2 linked regions of the Caenorhabditis elegans genome follow. The protein of the gene in region 1 interacts with the protein of each later gene in a pairwise test. Each region holds a gene or a part of one and is shown on either strand. Other genes may lie near its edges. The genes, in order: clec-110 and bckd-1A.

Region 1 (3,485 bases):
AGCAATACCCGTTTTAATCTTCACTGTCATTTGGCTAATCCCTCGCCCTTACAACTACTGGTGGATAAGAACTTCATTATATTGTGATGGGGTATTTTAAATTTTAAGATGAAACCTTACAATGATAAAATTATAATTACAGAAAAGGAACGACGAACAAAAATACTTGGTTATTCCCATGCTAACGACAATAACGGATTCAGGCCTTGGTAATTTATTTAGATATATGCAAACCAGTTTAAATCTTTCCTTAACTGCTGTAAGGCCATACTAAAAGTACCCAAAAGTTTTGAAAATAAAGTCGGAATAATTAAAAGCTCCAACAGTCATGATAACGTATATTTTTTGTAATATAGAAATATACAAAAATTTCAGGAAACCAACTATTCGAAGTAGTTTCCTTACTTGGAATGGCAGAGGTGTTAAACAGAACTGCGATATTCAACAAAGACGACACAATGCTCAACGAAAAGCTCAGTTTCTTCCGAGAAACAGTTCCACGTGTAGCCGAGAAGGTGGCCTCGATGCCTATTGAGGTATGCCTTACGGGCCTTAAAAAATGCACCTTAAAAACCTAATGTGTAATAATTGAGGTTGACACCAGGTCTGGTACCAAAAAATAAATTTGAACCAAAAAACAAAGAACCGGTGAAAAAGTGAAAATTTTAGGTTCTTTTTGTTCCAAAAAACCAAAAAAAAATCAATTGTTTTTCAAAATAACAAAATAGGTCCCAGCTTTGGTTGGCACGGCATACTTACCTGCTATAGACTCTATGTGAAGATATAAGACAATCAAACATCCTTCACTGTTTTAGATCTCAAAGTCCGCTCGATTCGTCGCACCAGTCGCCTGCTGTTACTACCAATACACGGGCCTGCTCACTTGCGATCAGAGCAAGTTCCTGGTCATTGATGGGATGCATTTCCAGGTGAGAACTACGACCGCTAGGTAAACTATGATATTAGCTAGATATGTTCAGAGTTACAAATATTTTGCACCCATCGAATCTACCATCAGGCAGTTGTTGAAGCCAACCCCGGAAGAACTAGCCAGAATTTCAATGAAGAATCAGGAGGAAGGTCGTCATGGGTACCACCTAATTTATATTCAACAAAACTTAAAATCTTTAATGTTTAGTACCTGCGTGCACGTTCGTCGTGGAGACTTTGTCGCAGACTCGCAGCACACTGGGACAGACGAAACATTTACTATCAAGGCAATCGAGTATTTGTTCACTAAATGTTAGTAAAAATTTTACCGGAACAGTCTGGCTGCAGTTATAAAACTCCCATTTTTAGACAGTGGAACTATTTACATGATCAGCAACGATCCAGACTGGGTGGGAGAGCATATTGTGAACCATGTCGCTTTTCGAAATGATATGAAAGTGCTAAGAACTCCCAACAATCGAGCCATTGATGATCTCTATTTTTCGCAGGTTTACTGTGATTCTGTTCTGATAACTGGTAGGTGTAAAGGTATTGAGAGAATGAGAAATCAAATTATTTTCAGCCCCCTCTTCCACGTTTGGCTGGTGGATCGGATATCTGTCAAAAAATCAATCAGCAGTGTATTATCGAGATATTCGAGAAACCACTGATGAGGTATTTATTGGGCGTATTCCTAAAATATAAAGTTTTTTTGTTCAGGTGAAGTACCAAATGGTCGAAGAGGATTTCTTTCCAGAAACTTGGACAAAACTGCGGATTTCTGATATGCTTTAAGCTAACATATTAGTGATAGTTGTTTGTTGGTTTTACACCTTATATTAATAAAATAGTTTTTTTAAAAATTCATTGCTACTTAAAAACTGATCAGGAACACTCTGAATGTTTTATGTCGTATGCAGATGTATAATACTACTACAAAAAATGTACAGTGTACGGTAATACCACGTTTCTCTCTGTCCCGATCACCTTTTTCCAAGCGATAAAAACCAGCATCAGTATAAAATACAAAGTTTTATGAGACAACCAGCAGAGTTCCGTATCAAAGATGCATCTTGCGACGCCAGTCGTGTTTCTTTTGCTTTTTGCAACTATAACCATCGCTATCGAATTTGATGGTGGTAAAGGAGGTGGAAGAAGACGGCTTGATTTCTCTGATTCTTCTTTATCTTCATCTTCCGAAGAACATAGACATAGACCCCCGCATCGGCCGAGGCCTCCAAGACCCTCAAGACCAACAACTCCGAGAGGTGAATGTGACGATGGATGGTTGAGATTCGAGAGGGATCACGAAATCTGGTGTATTTTTATAAGTGATTCTGGATTTAACAAGAATTCAATTCCTTGTTAGATTGCCTATCCGAGGATCACAAATGCTATGCTTACTCAACCGACTGCTGAAACCCTCTGCCAAACAATGGGTGCCACGTTGACAGGATATCAAAATGATAATGAGCGAGTGACCACTGCAAATGAAGCACTGAAAAAACTCGTAGCTGCCGGACAATCTACCATTGCCGGTAAGCCTATATCTCAGTTTTGCAATTTCAGTATAATTATGTTCATCTATGTGGCTTGGAGCGACAAATGTACCAGCATGCAGATACCAAAGCTGTGGACCTTATAACACATTTACATGGACCGATGGTCACACGAATGGAACTGCAGGCTTCAGCAAATGGGGAGTTGGACAACCCGATAATCGTAACTATGGGTCGGATCTAATATTATTTTAAAGACCATCAATTACTATTTTCAGAGGACCTACAATCTGTCTTCAACAATTCATCATGACCCCTAACTGGGTCGGACTTCGAGGAGACCTCGAGGAATGGAGAGCTGCTTTCACCAATGGAGATCTTGATAGATATGGATGCCTAGACGCTCCAGGACTGCCCCAGACAAAAATGTACGCTTGTGGAAAAGTCGGGGTCAGTCGAAGATCACGTGGATAAATTGTGACATATGAAATATTAATGAAGTGTTTTCTTACGAGTGTGTTTTTTCTTTCCTGGAGTAACTTGCCCGGCCCAACTGTTCGGCACATTGATTTTCATTTCCAGTGAACTCATTGTATTGCGATCAAGCAAGACACTGCCCGATTCCGTTTTCCGCGTACCTCTTTTTAGATCTGCTATCTACGCGGAAAATTCGATAGTGCGTGCGTTTCTTGAAATTCTTCGGACCATATTTATTATCGATTTTCAATTTAAAAATGATTGGAAGGTTAGTTTTTATTTGGAAAATATTTAGTTGTGCATGAATCGTATGTAAGCTTGTAACGTTTTGATAAATTTTGATTTTTGTCTTCTTTTAGACCACTTCTTTTTTTTTTGCAAAAATAACTTTAACAAATTCAGGACCACTTCGAAAAAACTTCCGTTGCTCCTGACTTTTGCGATTTTGACGCTGTGGATTGTTTTCGAGTTTACAGAATTCGAGTTTCTGTACACAAAGTCGCAGTTTCAAGTGGAAGATTTTAATGTGAGTTGGCATACATTTCTGTAGAGAATCTTTCGTTATTAGTTCTACTCGTT
Region 2 (6,512 bases), on another chromosome or scaffold:
CATAAAAGCGAGAAGAATTGACACAAAGTAAATAAAATGAATGAAATCCGAAACAGTCACATTTTAAAATATATTTTTTCATCATTCCAGAAATTCTTCAAAGAAAAAAAGTTGAGAAAACAGTGGATGAGGATCATGAAGATGAAGTATGCGGTCTGAAAAATGGAAAGTCTGAAATTCAGAAAAAAACCACAAAAAAAAAATAAAAAATTGCGATTTTTGTTTGAATTCCCTCCAAAATTAGAGCTGCCATCTGATTGGTTCAAAAATGGGCGGAGCGAATCGCTGATTGGTCTATCACGCCAAAATTGAAAAATCACGGGGATTTTTCACGCTTTTCTTTTGTGGTATTTCTGATTTTGAGTTTACTTTGCATTTTTTGAAGCAAAAATCATCAAAAATTTATTAGATACTGTGGAAATATGTTTTACTTGTTGCTTGAATGAATTTTTAGCCAAATTCGGTGCATTCAATAAGATAGCCCAACATTGGAGCTCAGAACAAAGAAACTTCCTGTCTTAAAATGAATGAATCTATTGTTACGCAAAAGAGTATTTTAATTGTTTTCCAAAACTGAAAACTGTTGCTTTTTTTGTTTTTAAAGTTTATCTTCAGTTCTGAGTCTTAGCAGAAAATAATTGATTTTTCAAAATTTCGGCGAAACTTCGAAAGAAAGTGGAAAAAATACCAGAATTAAATAAAGTCGTTTTATTTTCGTTTTTCGAACATTTTCGAAAACGAAAACGAAAAAATTCGTTTTCGTCAAAACCCCGAAAACAACGAAAAAACGAAAACGCGAAAACGAAAAAGTCCCAGCCCTGGTCCCAACCAACCGGAATCCACGAACAACAGACATCAATTCCATAGAAAAATGTTTCGAATCGTCCCCGTCTTCCTGTAATTACAGGTTCACCATCAGTGCAGTCTCCACGTCGTGATCATCTTCTTCGCTCATAATTAATAAAGGTATAGGATGTAACTGCCACTCACGCACACTGATCGATCTTATAAGGGTTTATTAAGTAAAAGGGAACAGACGAATTGCATCGTCGAAACAGAGTAAACGAGAGAAAAGGGAAAACGACAAGTAACGGGTTAAAGAGTTAATAAATGATCACAAATGAGCGTCGTCCTCTCCTTATATAGGCATTCCGGGTTAAAGGCGCAGCCTTTAACGACGACGGGTCTCGGCGCGACAAGGCGACCTTCTGTAGCTTGGCGGCGGTTTGAACTGGAGTTTCTCCTCCTCGCGGATTGCCTTCGCTGTAGAAATCGTTGTCCTCGACCGATTTCGTCCGTTCTTTCTGTAAATTATCAGAGAGAATTTAAAGGCAAATAAATTAGTATTTATTTATGTAAAATGTGAAGTGAAAAGGGTGGGAATCCTTACAAATTGCAATATTTTTGTTTTATAATCTGCAGAATTTCAATGAAAAAATCACATTTTCAGTCGAAATTCAAAAGTTCTTACCGATAATAAATTGCTGTTTTCGTTCGAAATGAATAGAAATCGAGAAATGATTAATTTTTTCTCTAATCTAAAGAAAATCAATAATTTAAATTTTTTTAAATTCAGTTTCCCGTGTCGCCCTGTTTTCTGGAAAAAGATTAGAAAATCCAATTTCTTGTTCTGTCTTTCGCCGAAGAAACACGCGTTTTCCCTGGGGAAATCATCAAATGGTTCGTTTTTTTAAAAAGATTTTTGAGCAAAAAGGTCTCACCGCGACAAGTTCTTGTGAAATAAAAACGGGTATGCGCCTTTAAGGAGTACTGTGGATTTTTAGAGTTTTTTCGATGAAATAACGATTTATTTTTTATCAATTTCATTGTAAAGTCAATGAATTTATTAGAAAGCTTTCGAAAGAAAAAACCTAGGCCTCTAAACTTCTGCTAGGTTACTGTAGATTTTTCAAGAGAATAAGAGAACCGGCTCAGATTTTTGTTGCAAACTCTGCCGATTGTTAGTTGTTTGATTTTTATCGATTTTCCGCCAAATATCTCTCAGCTCTTATCACTGAAAGTGATTGAAACACATGAAAAGTGACACAAAGTGTCGTCAATACACCACATTTGACGACATTTTGCGGACTTTTTTCTGTGGCTGGTGATTTTTCCACAGGTTTTTTGCATTTTTTTGCATTTTTTTTGTGGCAAATTCAATAGACTATTTGCCACGTTTTATTGTATCTTTTTTGTTGAAAAAATTCAAAAAAATATTTTTAATTCAAAAATTTTAATTCCTTATTCCCTTCAGATGCACAGAGCACTTCTCAACGCCTCGAGACGGGTGGCAACCGTCAGAAGCATGGCTTCTACCGTTGAAGGAGACGCTTTCCGGCTCAGCGAGTACAGCTCAAAGTATTTGGGCCATAGAAAAGTAATTTATTCTTAATTTATTATTTTTCTATTTTTTCCCCATTTAAAATACTAAACTTCACTTTTTTCAGGCCGCTTTCACTGAAAAACTAGAAATCGTGAACGCCGACGACACGCCAGCACTGCCAATCTACAGAGTCACCAACGCCGTCGGTGACGTCATCGACAAGTCGCAGGACCCAAATTTCGACGAGCAAACTTCGCTGAAAATGTACAAAACGATGACACAGCTGAATATTATGGATCGGATCCTGTATGATTCGCAGCGTCAAGGACGCATCTCGTTTTATATGACAAGCTTCGGAGAAGAAGGAAATCATGTCGGAAGTGCCGCCGCTCTCGAGCCACAGGATCTGATTTATGGACAATATCGTGAAGCCGGGGTCCTGCTGTGGAGAGGATATACTATGGAGAATTTCATGAATCAGTGCTATGGAAATGCGGATGACTTGGGAAAAGGTCCGAGAAAAACCTTGATTTTGCTTTTAAAAAATCGATATTTCTGGAGAAAGTCAACCTATTTTTCCGTTTTTTTTTCAATTTTTCTTCACTTCGATTCCCGAATTTTGCAAAAAAAAACTGTGCCGCACAGAAAAAGAGGTGGGGCGTAATTTTGCAACGACGTGGCACGGTTTTTCCTCTTTTTTGTTGATTTTTCCTTTTTTCTCCGAAAATTTACAATATTTCTTGAAAATATTATTCAATTTACTACTCATAAGATTGTGCGAATTAGGTAACATTTTTACTTAAAAAAAGAAAATAAGAAAAATTGTGAATTTTTGGAAAAAATCATTGAAAAAGGAGGAAAAACCGTGCCGCAGGGTTGCAAAATTACGCTCCGCATCTTTTTCTGTGCGGCGGCGCTTTTTTTTGCAAAAAAAAAATCACGAATCGATTTATCTAAAAAATTTTGAAAAAAATCATCAAAAAAAGAGGAAAACCGTGCCGCAGGGTTGAAAAATTACGCTCCACCCCTTTTTCTGTGCCGCGCTATTTTTTTTCAAAAAAAAATCACGAATCGATTTCTCAAAAAAATTTTGAAAAAAACCATTGAAAAAGGAGGAAAAACCGTGCCGCAGGGTTGCAAAATTACGCCACGCCTCTTTTTTTGTGCGGCGGCGCTTTTTTTGCAAAAAAATCACGAATCGATTTATCCAAAAAATTTGAAAAAAAATCATCAAAAAGCCAGGAAAAATCGAGACCCGAAGAACTCGGGGGATGTCCAATTGGGGGGATTACCAACTCGGGGGATTGGCCCCGCCCACAGAACCGTGGCTTGCAATACACCCATTTCTGCAACTGCCGCACGGTTTTAAAACTGTATTTTTATTAATAGAGCGAGAAATAACAAGAAAAAATATTTTTAAAACCGTGCGGCAGTTGCAGAAATGGGCGTATTGCAAGCCACGGTTCTGTGGGCGGGGCCAATCCCCCGAGTTGGTAATCCCCCCAATTGGACATCCCCCGAGTTCTTCGGGTCTCGAAAAATCGTGCCGCAGGGTTGCAAAATTACGCCCCGCCTCTTTTTCTGTGCGGCGTCGTTTTTTTTTGTCTTTTTTACAAAAAAAATCACGAAAAAATTTAAAAAAAAAGGAAAAATCTGATGAAAAACTCGAAGAAAAATCGATTTTTAAGGAAAAATTGAGTGGAATTTTTTAAAAATCCGAAAAAAAAATTTGAAAATTTTTGAACAAAAGCTCCAGCAGCCGCTGGTCTTCGAATTCCAAGATTTTTTCAAAAACCAAAAATTCCATTTTCAGGCCGCCAAATGCCAATGCATTTCGGAACAAAAGAGCGAAACTTTGTCACAATCTCATCTCCACTGACCACTCAACTTCCACAAGCCGTCGGCTCAGCGTACGCTTTCAAGCAACAAAAGGATAATAATCGCATCGCAGTCGTCTATTTCGGAGATGGAGCCGCTTCTGAAGGAGATGCTCACGCAGCGTTCAACTTCGCCGCCACTCTCAAATGCCCGATTATTTTCTTCTGTAGAAACAACGGATACGCCATTTCTACGCCGACTAGTGAACAGTATGGAGGAGATGGAATTGCTGGAAAGGGACCGGCTTATGGTCTTCATACTATTAGGTAGAGAGAACTGGATTCGTTGAAAAGCAGTGCCACCGCACGGAAAAAGAGGCGGAGCGCAAGAATTTGCAGTTTTTGGCTTGATTTTGCTTGATTTTGAATCATTTTTTGACAAAAAAAATTGTAATTTCTGAAATTTTACAATTTTCTCTTGTTTTTCCCTTTTTTTCCTCCATTTTTTCGCGATTTTCTCGTGAAATTGGCAAAAATTCGAAAATATAAAAAAAATATACGAAAATTAAAGAAAAAACCCACAATTAATCGGTAAAAAATCACCAAAATAAGAATTTCAGCCTAAAAAAGTGCGCCGCAGGTTTGCGAAAACGAGGCTCCGCTCCTTTTTCTGTGCGATCACAGAATTCTGAAAATGCGTATTGCACAACATATGTTATCACGTCAAATATGTTGTGAAATACGCATTTTCAGAACTCTGTGGTCGCACAGAAAAAGAGGCGGAGCTTAGGTTTTGCAAACCTGCGGCGTGCCGTTTATTTTACGAGAAAATCGCGGGAAAAAGTGGAACAAAATTACGAAAAAGAAGAGAAAATTGTAGATTTTCAGAAAATTGACTAATTTTGCCAAAAATTGAAAAAAAAATCGAATCTTAAGGCGCGCCGCAGACTTGCAAAACTACGCCCCGCCCATTTTTCTGTGCGACGCAGCTTTTTTCTTTTGCAAGAAATAAATCACGGATCGATTGTTCAGTATCTGTTTGCATACCTAAATATATTTTTTAAAAATCATCAAAAATAAAGGAAAAACCGTGCCGCAGGGTTGCAAAATTACGCCCCGCCCATTTTTCTGTGCGGCACTTGCGAATATTCTATCTATATAATCTAATATTATCTTCTAAAAAGAGGAAAAATGAGCTATTTTTGAAATATAAAATTGGAAATTTAAAAAATAACAAAAAATTTCAAAATTTTTTCCAGAGTCGATGGAAACGACCTTCTCGCCGTCTACAACGCGACAAAAGAAGCCCGCCGAGTCGCCCTCACCAACCGCCCAGTGCTCATCGAGGCCATGACCTACCGCCTCGGCCATCATTCAACATCCGACGACTCGACCGCCTACCGATCTTCCGATGAAGTTCAAACATGGGGAGACAAGGATCATCCGATCACTCGCTTCAAGAAGTACATCACGGAACGTGGATGGTGGAATGAGGAGAAGGAGATGGAATGGCAGAAAGAGGTGAAGAAGCGTGTGCTCACCGAGTTCGCCGCAGCTGAGAAGCGGAAGAAGGCGCATTATCATGATTTGTTCGAGGATGTTTATGATGAGCTTCCACTCAGACTTCGCCGTCAGAGAGATGAGCTGGATGCTCATGTTGCGGAGTACAAGGAGCATTATCCGATGTTGGAGACTCTTCAATCGAAGCCTTAAATTCATTTTTTGTGATGCTTTTTTTTTCTATGAAAATATTACTAGAATACGTTTTTTTTTTGTAGATTTTCCTGTGCCATTCCGATGTGTTTTATCAAATAGATTTTGCTTTTATTTATGAACCCTCATGTTTTGTTTCTAGGTGCCTTTTCCCGTGTTCCCCGCATATTTCTTTTGTCAGCCCCTTCCCACCTTTCAATATGGAGAGGATACCCCACACTGTTTTATCGATTTTTGTGTCCTGAATAGGGCGTATAACAAATAAAATAGACCGAATGCTCGAAAAATTTTAATTTTTGCAATTTATTGCCACTGAACAACCAATTGTTCGTATCAATACGACAGCACAAATTTCTTCTTTTTTTTATCAATTTTCTTTATCTTTTTTTTGTATTTTTCTCTAATTCTCTCACGATTTCTCTATATCTTTTCTTTGCAATCTTCTCTTGTCGGTTTTGACCGAAAATTTTTAATGTTCTATGTTCTTTTTTTTTTCAAACGAAAATTTTAGGATTTTGGTCTCGACACGACAATTTTAGTTTTGTGCAAACAGGTGTGCGCCTTTAAAGAGTACTGTAGTTTCAAACTTGTGTATTTGCGGAATTTTCATTAATTTTTCGTAGTTTTTTGGATAAAAATCGATTAAATTATCAAATATC

The links.
Region 2: the proteins of clec-110 (region 1) and bckd-1A interact in a two-hybrid assay, tested with the Caenorhabditis elegans proteins (one large-scale study listed by BioGRID).

The regions. Positions count from the first base shown.
Region 1 is NC_003279.8:13,202,501-13,205,985, forward strand, and holds clec-110 (C-type lectin domain-containing protein), read left to right. Parts: upstream 1-1,996; coding exon 1,997-2,247; intron 2,248-2,313; coding exon 2,314-2,468; intron 2,469-2,529; coding exon 2,530-2,662; intron 2,663-2,707; coding exon 2,708-2,903; downstream 2,904-3,485. Other genes in the region: F17B5.6 (L-Fucosyltransferase), read left to right, coding at 3-91, 143-209, 376-536, 816-929, 981-1,090, 1,139-1,242, 1,300-1,467, 1,514-1,605 and 1 more; ZK1225.1 (Core-2/I-branching beta-1,6-N-acetylglucosaminyltransferase family protein), read left to right, coding at 3,164-3,174, 3,309-3,432.
Region 2 is NC_003281.10:12,967,563-12,974,074, reverse strand, and holds bckd-1A (2-oxoisovalerate dehydrogenase subunit alpha), read left to right. Parts: upstream 1-1,677; coding exon 1,678-1,680; intron 1,681-2,254; coding exon 2,255-2,377; intron 2,378-2,447; coding exon 2,448-2,835; intron 2,836-4,136; coding exon 4,137-4,467; intron 4,468-5,399; coding exon 5,400-5,853; downstream 5,854-6,512. UniProt on the Caenorhabditis elegans protein: The branched-chain alpha-keto dehydrogenase complex catalyzes the overall conversion of alpha-keto acids to acyl-CoA and CO(2).